Linked DNA regions of Struthio camelus. Each later gene encodes a partner of the first gene's protein in a complex. Links are inferred from orthologs where the notes say so. Each region holds a gene or a part of one and is shown in the gene's direction. Other genes may lie near its edges.

The links. Proteins that work in one complex are often made in the same cells at the same time.
Region 2: CDK9 (region 1) and EAF1 share a complex: the UniProt entries of both Homo sapiens proteins name them as parts of the super elongation complex. The link is inferred for Struthio camelus from reciprocal best matches to the Homo sapiens genes CDK9 and EAF1.

The regions. Positions count from the first base shown.
Region 1 is NC_090961.1:7,655,772-7,662,729, forward strand, and holds the start of CDK9 (cyclin-dependent kinase 9), read left to right. Parts: upstream 1-3,941; 5' UTR 3,942-4,018; coding exon 4,019-4,110; intron 4,111-5,146; coding exon 5,147-5,228; intron 5,229-6,340; coding exon 6,341-6,431; intron 6,432-6,958. Other genes in the region: SH2D3C (SH2 domain-containing protein 3C), read right to left, coding at 761-1,391, 2,866-2,905. UniProt on the Homo sapiens protein: Protein kinase involved in the regulation of transcription.
Region 2 is NC_090943.1:48,872,251-48,879,788, reverse strand, and holds the start of EAF1 (ELL-associated factor 1), read left to right. Parts: upstream 1-4,524; 5' UTR 4,525-4,613; coding exon 4,614-4,716; intron 4,717-4,791; exon of another isoform or gene 4,792-5,157; intron 5,158-7,538. Other genes in the region: SH3BP5 (SH3 domain-binding protein 5), read right to left, coding at 1,797-1,931, 2,584-2,865. UniProt on the Homo sapiens protein: Acts as a transcriptional transactivator of ELL and ELL2 elongation activities.

The DNA.
Region 1 (6,958 bases):
CCAAGCCCAGATGCCCAGGTGATGGGCAGGGTGTTAAAACTGAACCTGAGGGCGAAACCCTCCCGTCTCGGAGACACGCTGAGCCCCAGCGCCCTCCATCCTGCTCCTCTTTCCACACTCGTGCTTTGCCCCGGCGCGGTGGCAGGTCCCGGCTCCGTGGGGGGAGTTCCCCCTTCTCGCAAAGCCCGGGGGCCAAAGGCTGCCACGGAGAGCCCGGGCGGCGAGGAGGGCGCCCGCGCCTGCGGGGATGCCTCCTCCTCGGCCTGAGCTGCAGAGCGGGTTTTAGGGCCGGGCAGAGAAGTGGGAACGGGCGGGTGGTTTCTGGGGATCGCTCCCGTGCCGCTCGCCGGGGAAGAAGGACGGCAGGAAGGAAAAAGAGCAGAACGAGATGGAGGGAGAACGGAGGGGGCAAATCGGAGCTCTCCGCGCTGGTACGTGCCGCGAGCAGACGCGCGGCGAAACCGGAGCTGGAAGGGAGCCGCCAGCGAGACAACGGGAAGCCCAGACCAAGCGAGGCGGCGAGATGTTTCCCCCCCGGCCGGAAACAGGCGGGAGCAGAAATCCCACAGGAAACTTTGTTCTCATGGAGCCTCCGACCCCGGGGCCGGCACGTCTGCCAGGTGCATCCCGCGGGCAGCGCGCGCGACAGGGGGCCGGGGGCCGTCCGCGCTCCCCCCGCGGCGGCTCCAACCCTGCCGATCCCCCCGCGCCTGCCCGGCGCCGGCCCCGCGCTGAGAGCCGGCAGCTGAGCGAGCCTTACCTGCGCGGGGCGCTCTCGCCGGGATGCTCTCGCCCCTTTTCCAGCAGGCGCCCGCCGGCGGTCTCCGCTCCAGGGGCCGCGCCGGGGGTCGGGGCCGGGCTGGGGGTCGGCGCCGCCGGCCCGAGCTGGGAGACGCTCCCCAAAAGCTCCGGCGTGCAGCCGGCCGTGGCTGCCCCCGGCATGCCCGAGGGCGCAGCCTCTTCCTCCTCCTGCTGCTCCGCTTTCCCGGCTGCTGGGCACGGCTCCGTGCCGGGGGCGCTGGGCGTCTCGGGGCGCTCGGGGATGGGGATTGGGGCCGTGGCGGGGATTTTGCTGCCCGCGGTGCCTTTCCCGCGGCAGCTCTGGGAGCTCTTGGCCTTGGCCGGGCTCTTCGCCGCCTTGCCCACGCTCAGCCTGGGCATGGTGCCCATGTGGCTGTACATGTCCGACGACCTGGCGTAGGGGCTGGGGCTCTTGGGCATCGCGTGCAGATCATCCCGGGTGCTGTCGAAGGGCTCCTCCAGGAAGCCGTGGGCGGCGGGGAGCCCCGGGCCCAGGCTCTCGGGGGAGCTGGGGGCCACGGAGACGCGCCGCAGCGTCAAGGTTCGGGGGATGCTGCTCAGGCTCCCGAAGCCCTTGAACTTGAAGAACTCTGGCACGGAGAGAGGAGAGGTGGGAAGGGGGTTAGTGCCGGCACGGGGCGGCGGGGGGTCCCGGACAGAGCCGGCCCTCCCTGGCTGCGCCGCTCCCCGGCACCCGCAGCCCCCTCCCCGAGCCCGGCCCCCAGGCTGTGCCCGCCGGCGTCCCCCGGCCACGGCGCAGCCTCCCCCCCCGGCGCGTGGGGGCGATGCTGCCCGCGGGCGCGGGTCCATCCCCTGGCGGCGGGCCGCGGCTGGGGCCGGCTCGGGGCCCCGCGGCGCAGCGGATACCCGCGCCGCTTCCTCGGCCGAGCGCGGGCGTGCACACGCGCCTCTCGCCGCCTCTCTTGCGGCTGCCGGCAGCCACCTGCAAGAGCCGAGCGCGGAGCCGGAGATGTATTTATAACCGCGGCGGGCTGCCTTTGCATTTCATACCTCGGCGCCGCGGGCCGGCGCGCTGCAACGCCGCGGGCGGCCCCGGCCTGCGGGCTGGGGGCCCTCCGCGCGCCGGCGCCTGGGGGAGCCAGGGCAGCAGGAGGCCCCGTGGGCGCACGGGGCTGCATTCCCCGCTGCAGCTTTGCTGGGCCGGGGCGGGGTTTACACCCGGAGCCCTGGTTTTTCGGGTGCCTCTGGGGGTTTTGCAATGTTTAGCTGGCAGAGCTCTGCAAAGCCTCTTCCCCTCCAGGAAAGCCGAATTTGTCAAGACAGGAAGCCATAAGCGGCAGCAGAGCTGCGCGGGGAGCCCAGGTGCACGGGGGACCCGCGGGGCCGTGGGAGCCGCGCCGCGGCCTCCGTCGCCCTGCGCGTGCCCCTGCCCCAGCGCCGGGGGGGGAAAGGGGGCACGAGAGGCCGTGCCAACCCGAGCACGTGGAGCCGGCAGGAAGGCAGAGAGCCGCGGCGAGGGGAAGGCGGCGCGGGGGGCCGGCGGCCTGACGGCCCCGCTGGAGCCGCCTCCGAGGGCTTCGGGGACAACCCGCGGTCTGTGAGGAAGAGCAGAGTTCGTTCCCGGAGGGCACCGAGCCGCTTCCTGCGAGAGCGTTTCGGCCCCGTGCGCGGTGCCAGGTGGGATCCTTGCTAAATCCGCGAGAATTCGCCCCCGGCCGCCGAAACCTGGCTCGTCTGCTCTCCCCCTCCGGCCGGCGCACCCGCACCCCTGCTCCCGGCGGGAAATATTCCCAGGGAGACGCGATCTGCAGAGGGAAAACCCCCGGCGGCATGGGGGACCGGCGCCCGGCTCGCCCCCACCGCGTCCCGGTGCGGGGCTGGCCGGTGGCGGGCTGGTCCCCGTCCCAGCACCCCGTTGCTGGGCGAGCAGCCCTTGGGGTCGCCCTCCACCGTGGCGAGGGCGAAATCCCCCAAATCTTCTCACCCCCACCCCGAGCCCGAACGAAAGCAGAGCCCGCGGGAGCCACGTCCTCGCCCGCGTCCCCTGCCCCTGCCGGGCCGCCCAGGCGAGCAACCCCGCCGCTCCTCCCCACCGCCGCTTACTGAATTTCTTGAAGCCCCCTCGTTTCTGGCTCTCGGCCATGGCGGCGGCGGTGGCGGCGGGGACCGGCAGGGATAAGTTTATAAACTTCAAGCCCTTCCTTGCCCCGCTCCTCCCTTCCTGCCCCCTCCGCCTCGCGCTCGCTCCGCGCTTCCTCCCGCCCGCCCGCCCGCCCGCCGTCGCCCGCTCCCGGCCCCCACGCGGCCGCCCAAAAAAGCCCCCGGGCGAGGACGCCGGCCCCGCGGGGGCAGAGCGCAGCCCCTGCCCTCGCCCGGTCCCCCCCGGCTGGTGGCCGGCGTCAGCGGCGTCGCCGCCAGCGGCAGTCCCCGTTCCCGTCCCCCCCCACCCCGGCCTGGGGGACCTTCGGGTGCCCCCGCCGGGGACGCGCAGCCTTTTTCCGCGCAGGGCAGGGCGGCCCCCGGCCTGGCAGGGAGCCTTGTCCCGGCTTTCCGCCTCTCTCCAGGAGGCGGCACGCGGATCCTGCCGCGCGGCACGCCGGGAGCCATCTCTGCGTCTCCGCTGCCGTCCGGCCCGGATGCTTCCTGTTGCGCCTCTCCGCCTTCGGCAGCCGTTTTAAATAACCCTGGGATAACGTGTTCGGCCCCCGACCCAGGGCATCGCCCCGGGCAGAGGGATCGTGAGCCCCGCCGCGTGCTGAGGCCGGGGGGAAGGACGGCCCTTCGGCGAGGGATAAGGACGCTGGCAACGGCTGGGTGTCTTCGGCGCGTCAGGCAACGGCTGGGTGTCTTCGGCGCGTCAGGCCAGGCTGACGCAAAACCACCCGCTGGAAAACACCCGCAGGGAGGACGAGGGCGATCCGCTGCCGCCGCCGCCCCCGGGGCCAGGGTGCCCCGCACGCGCCCGCGACTTTGTCAGCAGCATGGCCCCCGTCTTCGGGGAGACGTGATGGGAGGGGAAGCGGCCGAGCGCTGTGAGGGAGAAGCCCCGCAGTGGGCTGGGCTGGGCAGGGCTGGGCTGCTTGGGTGTGACTCTCTAGGGAAGGAGGCGGCTGCTAGGCCTCGCCGCCAACATGGCCGCCCCCAGCGGACTACAAGTCCCAGAGGCCCGCGCGGCGGCGGCGGGCGGAAGGGGCGTGGCCTCCGGCAGACCGGAAGCGGAAGCGGGAGGGGAGCGGAGCGGAGCGGGGCGGCCGGCATGGCCAAGCAGTACGACATGGTGGAGTGCCCCTTCTGCGACGAGGTGTCCAAGTACGAGAAGCTGGCCAAGATCGGGCAGGGCACCTTCGGGTGAGCGCCGCCGCCCTCCGACGCCGGGTCCTGCCTTCCTCTTCGCGGCCTGTTCGCCTGCTCCGCGCCGGCGTCAGCCTCGGGCCTGCGGGTCCCGGCCGCGGCCCCTTCCCCGCCCCCCGGGACCGGCCTCTTCGCCTCCCCTCCCCCACGTTAGGACTGGCGCTTTAGTCCCCTTGGGACCAGCCCCCCCCCCCCCGGACCGGCTCTCTTCTCCCGGCCTGTCCCCTGCTCTCCTCCTCACCCTGGGCCTCATCTCTTCCCCCCCCCCCCCCAATTCTTCTCCCCCTGGCCCCGCGCAGGGCTGTGCAGCCTCCCCCCCTCCCTCCCCGGTTCTGGGGTCAGAGCTGCTGCCTCTGCTCCCCTCTGCAGCCCAATTGCTCTGGGTGGCAGGGCCTTTCCCCTGCTCTCTCTCGGCTGAGGTGCCCCTGGGCTCTGAGTGCTCCTAGCTCGAGTGTCGTTTCCCCTGTCCCTTCTCTGGCTCCTGGGAAGCAGTGCACCCCCCTGAACCCCCTTCCTCCAGCTCCTTCTCCCACCCCAGGTCCCCTCTCTGTCCCAGGCCTGCTGGTGGCAGAGAAGAGTTGGTTTTGGAGATGCTCAGGACAGGGAGGAGCAGAGACTCTTCCCTCCTTCTGCTGTGGTGATGTTTTGAGCATCCTCCTGCAGTTTTTGAGAGAGTCCAGCCTCACACCTTATTTTTCTACCACAACATCTGAGATTCCTATTGCCTGGAGTCTGAAAAATGTCCTTGCAACATTCATCTCGTTCTCCCACTGGGCTGGGGATGTGAGACGCTTTAGCCACTGTTCTCCCGGGGGGTGTGGGAGCTGTGTGTGCCCTTGCTCTGGGCTCTGCATCGTCCCAGCCAGTCTTAGTGGCTTTTGGCCTGAAGGGCACCTGGCTGGGTTGGATGGTGGCTCAGCACAGAGCTCTCTCTGTGAAGCTATAAAGTGTTTTGTTTGGTCTCGTTCCTGGTAGGTAGCACCTGGCTCCTTCTCTTGCTGTGCTGCTCATACATCTCCTTCTGCTTTTACAGGGAAGTTTTCAAAGCAAAACATCGTCAAACAGGCAAGAAAGTAGCACTGAAGAAAGTGTTGATGGAAAATGAGAAGGAGGGGGTAAGTGTGAGGAGCACAGCTGTGCTGTATTTGGGAAAGGCCTGGAGAGCGCATAGGTGAAGGCTGATCTTTGGGATGCCAGAGATGTGTTGTCACTCTGTAGGATGTTACCACCTATTTGTACTTCTTTTGCAATATTTACTGCTGTAACGTGCTACATGTTGAACCCTTAAGGATGTGGGCAGGATCTCAGCCCTGTGGCCTGTTTTCCTCTCATACCGATGTTGTGATAACGCTGCATCTCGTGGCTGCCCTACCTCTGAAGGGTAGGTCCTGTTATCGCCTTGTTGGCCGCAAAGCTGCGCGACACCCAGTGCAGCCTAGTAGCTGTGGGGTGACTGAGCTGCTGCCAACGGCTGCTGGGAGGTGACACCTCTGTGCGCATTCATACATCTGTACGAAATCCGATCGCCCCCGGCATGCGTGGGCTTTTGCGTCGGCTGTTGTTCATGGAGGAACTGCCTGAGGTATTGACTGTCCCGGCTGTACTAGGGACTACGCAAAAAGCACATGCTGAGAGTGTGCAGAGAGATGGGGCAGGCTAGGGAGGCACTAACCGAGTAAGCAGCACGGGCTAAGGAGGCCGCTCTGTGGGTCGTGTGGGGCTGTACGCAGCATCCCGTTACAGAAACGCAAAGTGAGGAGAGGAGGGGTGTCTGCATGCTGATTTCACTCTGGCGTCACCCAAAAACCCGTGTGTCATGGCATAATTTCTCTCAGTGACGGTGGCCTGAAACACAGCATTTAGGCAGGTATCTGTCTTTTTGTCTTGTGGCATTTGTAATGCGAGGGCTGGAGAGGAAGAGCCCTGTCCTCTAGGGACTCGGTGTGCTGCGGCCTCCAGGTGCTGAGAGCAGCTGTACCCAGCAGGATCAGCCCTCTGAAACACTGTTCAGAGAACAGGATCTGGTGCAATGGGGAATATTATTATGACAATCCCAGCGTTGGCTTTCTCTTTTGAAGATCTGCTTGCCCTTAAATGACGTGTCAGGGTGCTGCTCAAGCAGGTCCCCTGCTGTGCTGCTGTGATCACATCTCTCCTCCTGTTCTCTAGGCAGCTGTGGCCTGGTCTCCTACACTCCTAATCCATGTTCTCTATTTCTCCTTTCTAGTTCCCCATCACAGCCCTGCGAGAGATTAAAATCCTCCAGCTGCTCAAACACGAGAATGTGGTGAACCTCATAGAAATCTGCAGGACCAAAGGTAGCGTGCGGTGGTGCCTCTTGTGCTGACTGCTTGCTGAAGTGGCTGTTGGCTTTCTTCTGCTGAGCAGGCTGGTGTTTTGTCGGGGGGAGCGGAGTCCTTTGGCTGAGTTCCCTCATCTCTGATTTAGGGTGACAGTAGACCCATCTTTGAACAACAGTGTTTCTGAATGAGTTAAGAGAGGATTGTGCCACAGCTTGGCTGGAATAAACTGTTGGCAGTCCTGCTAGAGTATGCCTGTGCTGCGGCAGCGCACGTACTGTGTGCTGGGAAACTCCCATTTGAGAGGCTTTAAATAAACTAGCACTGGAGAGAAGTGTGAAGCACAGGGTTTTCAGCCTGGAGCTGGTTTTGTGGCTGTGCGTAGCTGATACCCTGTCAGGAGCTGGAGCCGTCCCTCTCTGAGTTTGCATATGACACTTCTTGATAGCTTTGAGCTGGTGACACAGTGCCAGCTGGGGACTTGCTCAGCATCTCCTTTTGTGCGTGACAGCAACTGCTCATACTTTGAGGGCCGCGTTCAAAGC
Region 2 (7,538 bases), on another chromosome or scaffold:
CCTCTGGATGGGCCCCTCTCTCCATCAACTACAAGGCAACCTAGAGTATCTCTAGGTTAACATTAGTATATATGAACAGCCCATTTCTAAATCACATAGATCAAGCGAGTTTAATAATCAAACTCCAACTGCAAGTCATTGCGTCGTCTGGAAGTGACTTTTGATGCACTTTCATTCCTATCTTACAGACACAGGCATTTCTGTAAGCTGAAAATACTCTTTGTAGTGTACAACTAGCAGCAAATTCACGGGTCCAAGATACCATTTTGTTATGCTGACGACACACGTTAAGACTAGAATCCAAACAACTCTCAAAATACCAAGAGCTAGCTAAATACTCCCAGGGAATATAGTGTTAATTAAGGATCACGATTAAAAGTAGAGTTGTTTTTTTAGAATAAAATTGTACTTTCAAGCCAAAAAGAATAAAAGTGCTTTAAAGGCTGTAAAATCAGCTGCTCGTGCCTACCTTGTAAACGTTCTTCAAGACAAGGTGCATTTTGTCAGGATGAATGGCAGAGAGCACAAATATAAGTGTGACAACATCCACAGAATCTGCTGGTATATTTTCTGTAAGATCATCTTTAGTAAGATCACACTGGAACACTTTACATCTTTCAGTACTGTATAAAGAATTTTTCTAGGGAAATGAAAAGACTATGATTTAACTGACAATTATCAGTTTTTGTTATTTTTAAAAAAAAGTCAAAAACTTGTGAAACTAATTAGTAAAGAAACATAAAGCAAGCGGCAAAAGAAGATTAGGCAACTACCACAAAATGAAATTCTTTGCTGGACACTATAATAGTGAAAAAAATGGTCTGTTCTCAGGAATTTGAGAAGGAATGTGTGTTAAGACATAATTAAAATATCACACTATTTCTGTTTTACAGCTGCTTCTACTCTTTAAAAACACAGAAATATTATTAATAGAAATTCTCTATTACAAGGGGATCAAAGCACAGCTCTTCAGCCACAAGTAGCTCGTAAACAGCTCACGCAACCTGCAGTTTGGCTGTTCTAGTCCCTTTTTTTTTTTTTCCCTGGGTGAAAGGAAACCTGGTCCTGGAAAGAAAGAAGTCCAGCCGGAGCTGTGGAGGCAAACACCACCAAGCTGACCAAAACCAAGCCTATACACTCAGTCCAACCTCATCTGGCAGTACACCCGTGGCACTCCAGGGAGTTGCTGTCACCTCCTGTTTGTGACCCACTAATGTATTTCTTCCATTGTTTGGGTGAGGTCTGCAGTACGAGTCTTGTGGTTCTCAGCCATAAATGTCCCATAAGAGAATGCTTTCTAATGAAAGATACATAAAAACCTACCTCTGATTACAAATTTAACAAACCAGTCCATTGTCCCCATAAGCCTTACTGGAAGACTTGTTTTGGATTGCAGCACTCTTTAGCTATGAGCAGGTATAAACATACCTATTTCTGATCAGTCTCCAGATTTCTTTACCAATAACTTTCATATCCCCGTTTTCAAGATTATCCTTGGGACTCCCTCTACCCCACAAAGGCAAACTTCTCTCCCCAGGAAAACATAGTCTTCACAGAACATTCAGGTGAAGTAACAAACATATACCGCTACTACAATTTGATGCTCAAAAATTAGGTCTTAAACAACGATTCAGCTTCTTTCAATGGGAGCTCCAGTGAAATGGATCTGTTCCTGTTCTTTGACAAATGCTAGTTTACTTTTCTTGAAAAAGGAAGGCAAGTCCATCACTCCAACCATGTGCAAATTCATAAGCTTCTAAAGACACTCTAAAAGAAGTACTGAATACCACACCAACCTTCACATACTCAACAGCTCTAGGAGAGAAATCACAGGCATATGCAAAAATATTCAGATCCTCTTCTAGGAGTGGAAACAAGCAGTTCCCAACCCCACAGCCTGCTTCTAGAATGGTCAGCTTCTGATCTTCAAACTGGGAAGGAAGAAATCCAAGAGGCATCACATCATTTTTGTTTTCCTCATGACACAAGCAGACACACGTTTCAATTAGCATTTTAAAAGCAATCAATTTTAACTACCATTGATTCAAGAACTGAAGAGGCATCCATCAGTAATCTAACACTACAAAACAGGAATTTTAATTTGTGCAAAATTACACGTCTTTTTAAAACTTTTAATATTTCTTTAGTCATCCACCCACTTAATTAACAGATTGTTGTACTATTGCTGTCTTGTGTCTCATCCAGATAGAATGAGCAACAGATGCATCTGACTATTCCCCTTAAGGATATTTTGCAATTAGCCTGTAGTTCTGGATGCTTTCTTTAAAACAGTGTTTTAAGTGCTGTAACTTGCGTCCTAAATAGACAACTTGTCTCTCTGTGCAGATGCAAAATAAATATTCCAGATTTGGTTCTCCATATACAATATGAAAGAATTATAAACTGAAACTAAACTGATCCTGAGGAGATATCTTTGACATTAAAAGAGACTACACTACACAAAGCACTACACACTTAAAACGTGAGAGCTCTCACCTTAATGGCTTTGTTAGAAATATTACTACATCATTTGAAAACAATGAATCATATCTCTTTACTTATAGATAGGTGTATTCAGCTCACCTCCCGACATGCTTTTAACTCTTGAAACTCTCTGGTTGTCCAGTGTCTGTCTTTGAAGAAGTTGGTGCTGTTTCTTTTGTAAAATAGATCCCAGTTCTTCTGTGCCTCTTTCTCCAATTTTAGTTGTTTGAAATCAGTCACCAAAACCTTATCTTTTGCCAGTCTCTCAGCTTCTTCGGGGCTAAGGATCCTTGCACTATGGCCTTTTTTTTGGAAAGCATCAGCTTCAGTAGATGTAATTATTAAATTTAAGCAATCGGCTGGTGGGTTTTCATGGAACATCCTAGAGTATTTCACAGAGATGTGAATACCAAAGCCCCAACAGTGATTTTTTTTTTAGCATATATATGTTTCCATCACTTAATTTTGGTAAATAACCAAGGATCTAAAAGCACAAAAGAGAAAGAGAGAGAGAGAGAGAGAGAGGGAGATAGTTAGTTTTTGTATGCACTTTCGGAGGTTTTATGGTGATCTGCCCTACATAACAGACCGCAAAACCACCAGACTTGCTTCTCTTATTTTCAGAAATCCTCCTTCAAAGCTAAGCACCAGGTAAGACACTACACTGATCTCAAAGAACACAGGGGACAAATTCTGCTGGTCTTCCACACGTATCATAGAAAACTACCCAACCAGAGAGAGATGATGCAGCTCTAAGTTTATTTGCACTAAAATCGACTAGAAAAGGAAAACACGGGCTTTGTAACTCTGGTTAGTAACACCTCAGAAAGCTCACAACTGAAAAGCAGGGGGCACACCTTTTAAGAGTCCCGTTTCAGTTGGCAAAGAAAACCATATTCACCTTAACATTTCTCCTGAGCTCGCACTCCTTCCACTGCCTCTTCCTGAGGATTCACAGCAGTTTGAACAATGACGGGTATGTTTTTTTCAGAAGTTAACAAAAATGAGGCAATAAAAACACCTTTATGGAGGCCAGGAAAGGATTCAAGTCATTTCCCTAACGTTAAACTAGCTCTGAGCTCTGCCTTGCCACAAACACCCAGACGGCGTACGTGAATTAAATCCCGCGTGACCCAGTAACTCCCCTGAAACCCCTGGCAGGCCAAAACGCGCCCATCCACGTCCATCAGTGCCCAGGACTGGGCATTCGTGCCGCTTCACAGAAACGGAAATGAGGAAAAACAACAACTTCTACCCTTCAGCAAAACAAAAAAGAACAACAACAACGAGCAGTACTTCATTCCGCTATTTTATCTTGGTTAGTACAAACGTAACAGTGCAAACACAACACACAAACGCGGGAACGGCGGGAAACGAGGAAGCGGGCCCGTTGTGCCCAGCTTCACAGGAGCCAGACCACACGCCGCTTGCCCGCAGGAAGGCTGGGAAAGGCCAACAGCGATGAGACTCCCTTGAAGAAGGAAAATCTACTAAAGACACAGGCTTTTCCTCAAAATATGTAATATTTTGATTTTTTCTTGAAGGTATATCCTCAAAGAAAGAAAGAAAAAAAACAAAAAGAGAAGTTTCAGCAGCAAAAAGGTTCTGCTGTGCGCCTGGCACGCATCAAATCAACGCGTGCGGGGTTTTTTGGGGTAAGACAAGCTAGAGAGGGGAGTGGGGGGGGGGGAAATGACCCGTTTAAATTGCCCCCTTTACGTCTGGAAAGACCCCTGTGTTAGACAGAAACCAAAGAGCTGACACGACGATAACGGTCGCCCGCCCCGCAACCCCCCCAGCAGCCGTTAGCAGCCGTTAGCACCGCGCAGCCCCCGCTCCCCCCCGCCCCACGCCGCGAGGGGCGGCCAGACCCCGCTGCGGGGGGGGGGGAGGGCGCCCCACACGGGGCCAGACCCCCTGCGTGCCCCCCCAACGGCGCCCACCTGCCCTCGGTGCCCTGTGGGGAGAGGGGACGGGACGGGACGAGACGGCTCGGCTCGGCCCCGGAGCACTTTCGCGGCTGCACTCAGGGCCCGGAAGGGCGCGGGGCGGCCGCGCACGCAGCGGGCGGAGGAGAGGAAGGGACGGGCGGCGCAGGACACGGCACGGCACGGCACGGCAGCGGGGCCATGAACGGCTCGGCGAACCCGCTACTGGACAAGGAGGAGCACCCGCTGCAGCTGGGCGAGAGCTTCGAGCGCCGGCCCAAGGCCTCCTTCCACACCATCCGCTGTGAGCGCCCCCGCCCCTTCCCGCCCGGGGTGGTGGTTGGGGGGGGACATATACATACACACACACACACGTTACCTGCCCGGCAGCTCGCCCTCCGCCGCGATACCTTCCTCCCCGGGCCCCGCCGTCCCTTCTAGCTCCTGCCGCCCTTCGCTGCCTTCCCCGAAATGGCGGGGGGGGGGGGGTGGCCAGCGCCTCCCCGACATGGCGGGGGGTGCCCGGCCCTGCCTCGGAGCCGCCCCCCCCCGCAACCCCGCTCCCGAGGCCGCCGCCTCGGCCCTGCCTCCCCGCGGGGGGGACGAGGCTCCCCTACCCCCCGTGGGGCTTGCCCCCGGCCGGCTGCCACCCCTCATGCCGCGCCGGCTTCCGACATCGTCCCTCCTCAGCGCCCGTCTCTCCCTCCTTCCCGCCCCTACTGCCCTCCTCAGCCCTCCTTCCCCCCCTCCCCAGTCCTTACCTCAGCGCCTATTCCCGCCCCTGCTGCCCCTTCAGAGTCCATCGTTCCCCCTAGAGCCCATTCCTTCCCCCTCAGCGACCTATATCCTCTCTTCCCTGCCCCCCCCCCCCAACTAGCCCCCGTGTCCCCCCCAGGGCCCGTTTTCGCCCTCTGGCTCTGTGGCTGCAGCCCGAGCAGCGAGGGGGCAGGGGGAGGGCAACGGAGAGCCGGCCAGGGCTGCGCTGGAAGCGTTTACAAACAGACGTGCTGGGAGAGCGGGTCTCCTCGCGCGGCCCCCTCTAGTAGAGCAAAAGTGTGAACGAGGCAGACTGCAGAAGACAAAGGGGCTCTGGAGTTGTTCGTGAAGTGCACGTGAATCGTTTAAGAGCATAAAGCCTCCTCCTCCTCAAAGGGAAGGCTTTCCATTTTCTTATGGGCCTGGTGTTACAGGTCACCACAGGCCCTGGTCTGGCTTCTTCTGGGTGGGCAGGAGTGTCGGGAAAGGAGTACAGCTTGTCTGCAGCCGATTCAATTTAACTGATTGTTGCCGTAATGAGGCACCATGTAACCCAGCAACTTTTTCCCCGGCTCTGTTGACTCTCAAGGTCTATTGTAAGTCACTTTCCAGGAAGGCAAGCAGAAATGATTCCAACGCATGCAGTATTGCCTAACAAGTGGTAATAAGCATAAGATAAATGCTGAGGCAAGGTCTCGAGCAGTAATTTTGCTTTGGAGGAGCTGGAAAAATGTATTTTTCTAAGACACCAAACGTCTTTTTCAACTGCTGTTTTCTAGCGTGGAATACATTTTATATCATATTAGAGGATCTCCTCCTGGAAGAGGAGATCACCTGTATCTCTGTATTTGAATGCTGTAGACAAGAAATTGCTTTTTCATTTTCATTACTTTTTCTAAACATTTAAAATTAGTAGTTAATCAGCAACAGGAGACGAGAATTATAGTGAAACTGTATTTTAGTATCTTTGTATTAGTGTGGAGAATTTATACTATTAACAGCAGGATTTTTTGTTGTATGATGTATACTCCTAGGCCTGGTTTCATAGCCTGCTTTCATACACTATGAGTAAATAATTTCAGTGAGATTAGTCACCTGAGTGAGGCTTGAAAGAACAATTTTCTAGACTGAGCTATTATCCAAGCAGAGGATCAGTGTTTACAGAGAAGCTGTTTCCCTAGATAGTAAACTCTCTCCCGCAGATTAACACTTAAGTTTTGTGTGGTTCACCCCTCTATTACACTTACATAACCCCATGATGCTAAAGAAGGCCGTAGCATGTGTGTGATATATTTTACTGTTTATTCATAATACCATTAGTTTTATTCAGCACTGGCACAGTAGTAAATCTTCACTTATAAATCAAAGTTTTAAAATAGCCCAACCATCAAACAAATGAGGTTGCTGTCTGATAGCATATGAATTAAACCTAGGTCATGTCCAGATAATACTTTGGATTTCTAGGACTGAAGGGTCTTCAGTAATCAATTTCTTAAGGGACTGCAAAGCCAGAACACTTCAGACTACAACCGGAAAAATCCAGTTTTATTTTCAAAGAGCTTTCTGTGTGCTGTATTTGTAGTCAGTGACTTTCAAGTGAGATCTCTTTCGCTTTGCTGATTATAACTTTTTCTTCTAACTCTTGATTTTAAATGATTAGTCTAGGATCTGAGCATCATAGTGTTCCCCTAATCCTCTTCATACAAACTACAGTAAGAGGATTTTGCAGGCTAAATTTGTCTCTTGCTCCTTAAAATACCTCATCTTTTTCTGCAATGTTTATGAAATTCCGAACTGAAAAACTGGATTATCCATGGAAAACACATCTAAAGAAACTTGACTTTTGGAAAAAGGACTGCAGCTACGTTTAGGTGGACATGTTTGCCCTCCGTCTACAGGAAAATTAGCCAAGTAGATACAAAAAGAAAACAATTTATTGTTTGAGTGTTTGCTTGGAATAACTCTATATTTTGTTAATATCCAAGAAAGAAGCACGTTAGTGATATTTTGCTTTTCATTTAGTGACTGCGCTGTTGAAAGTTGTGATCCCTTTTTGGCAAAGACCCTAGCCTTTCTACAGCGAGCTTATGTTCTATTTAGCAAACTTGCACATGAAGTAGATGGGAAACAATAGCTAGAAATAGATTGGTCAGATGAAAACCAAGGATATGATTTGGTCTGGCAGTTAAGGCATGAGGATTAAGTCAAGTGTGCCTGATTTTGCTTGTTGTGCTGTCAAAGTAAAACTCAATTAGACATTAATGTCCTCCTAATGAGAATTTGCTACAAAGCTGTTTTTTTCCTGCAAACGTGCTTTTCCTAGTGGAATTACATTTTAAATTTGTTCTGAGATGTTAGTGTCTTAACTAA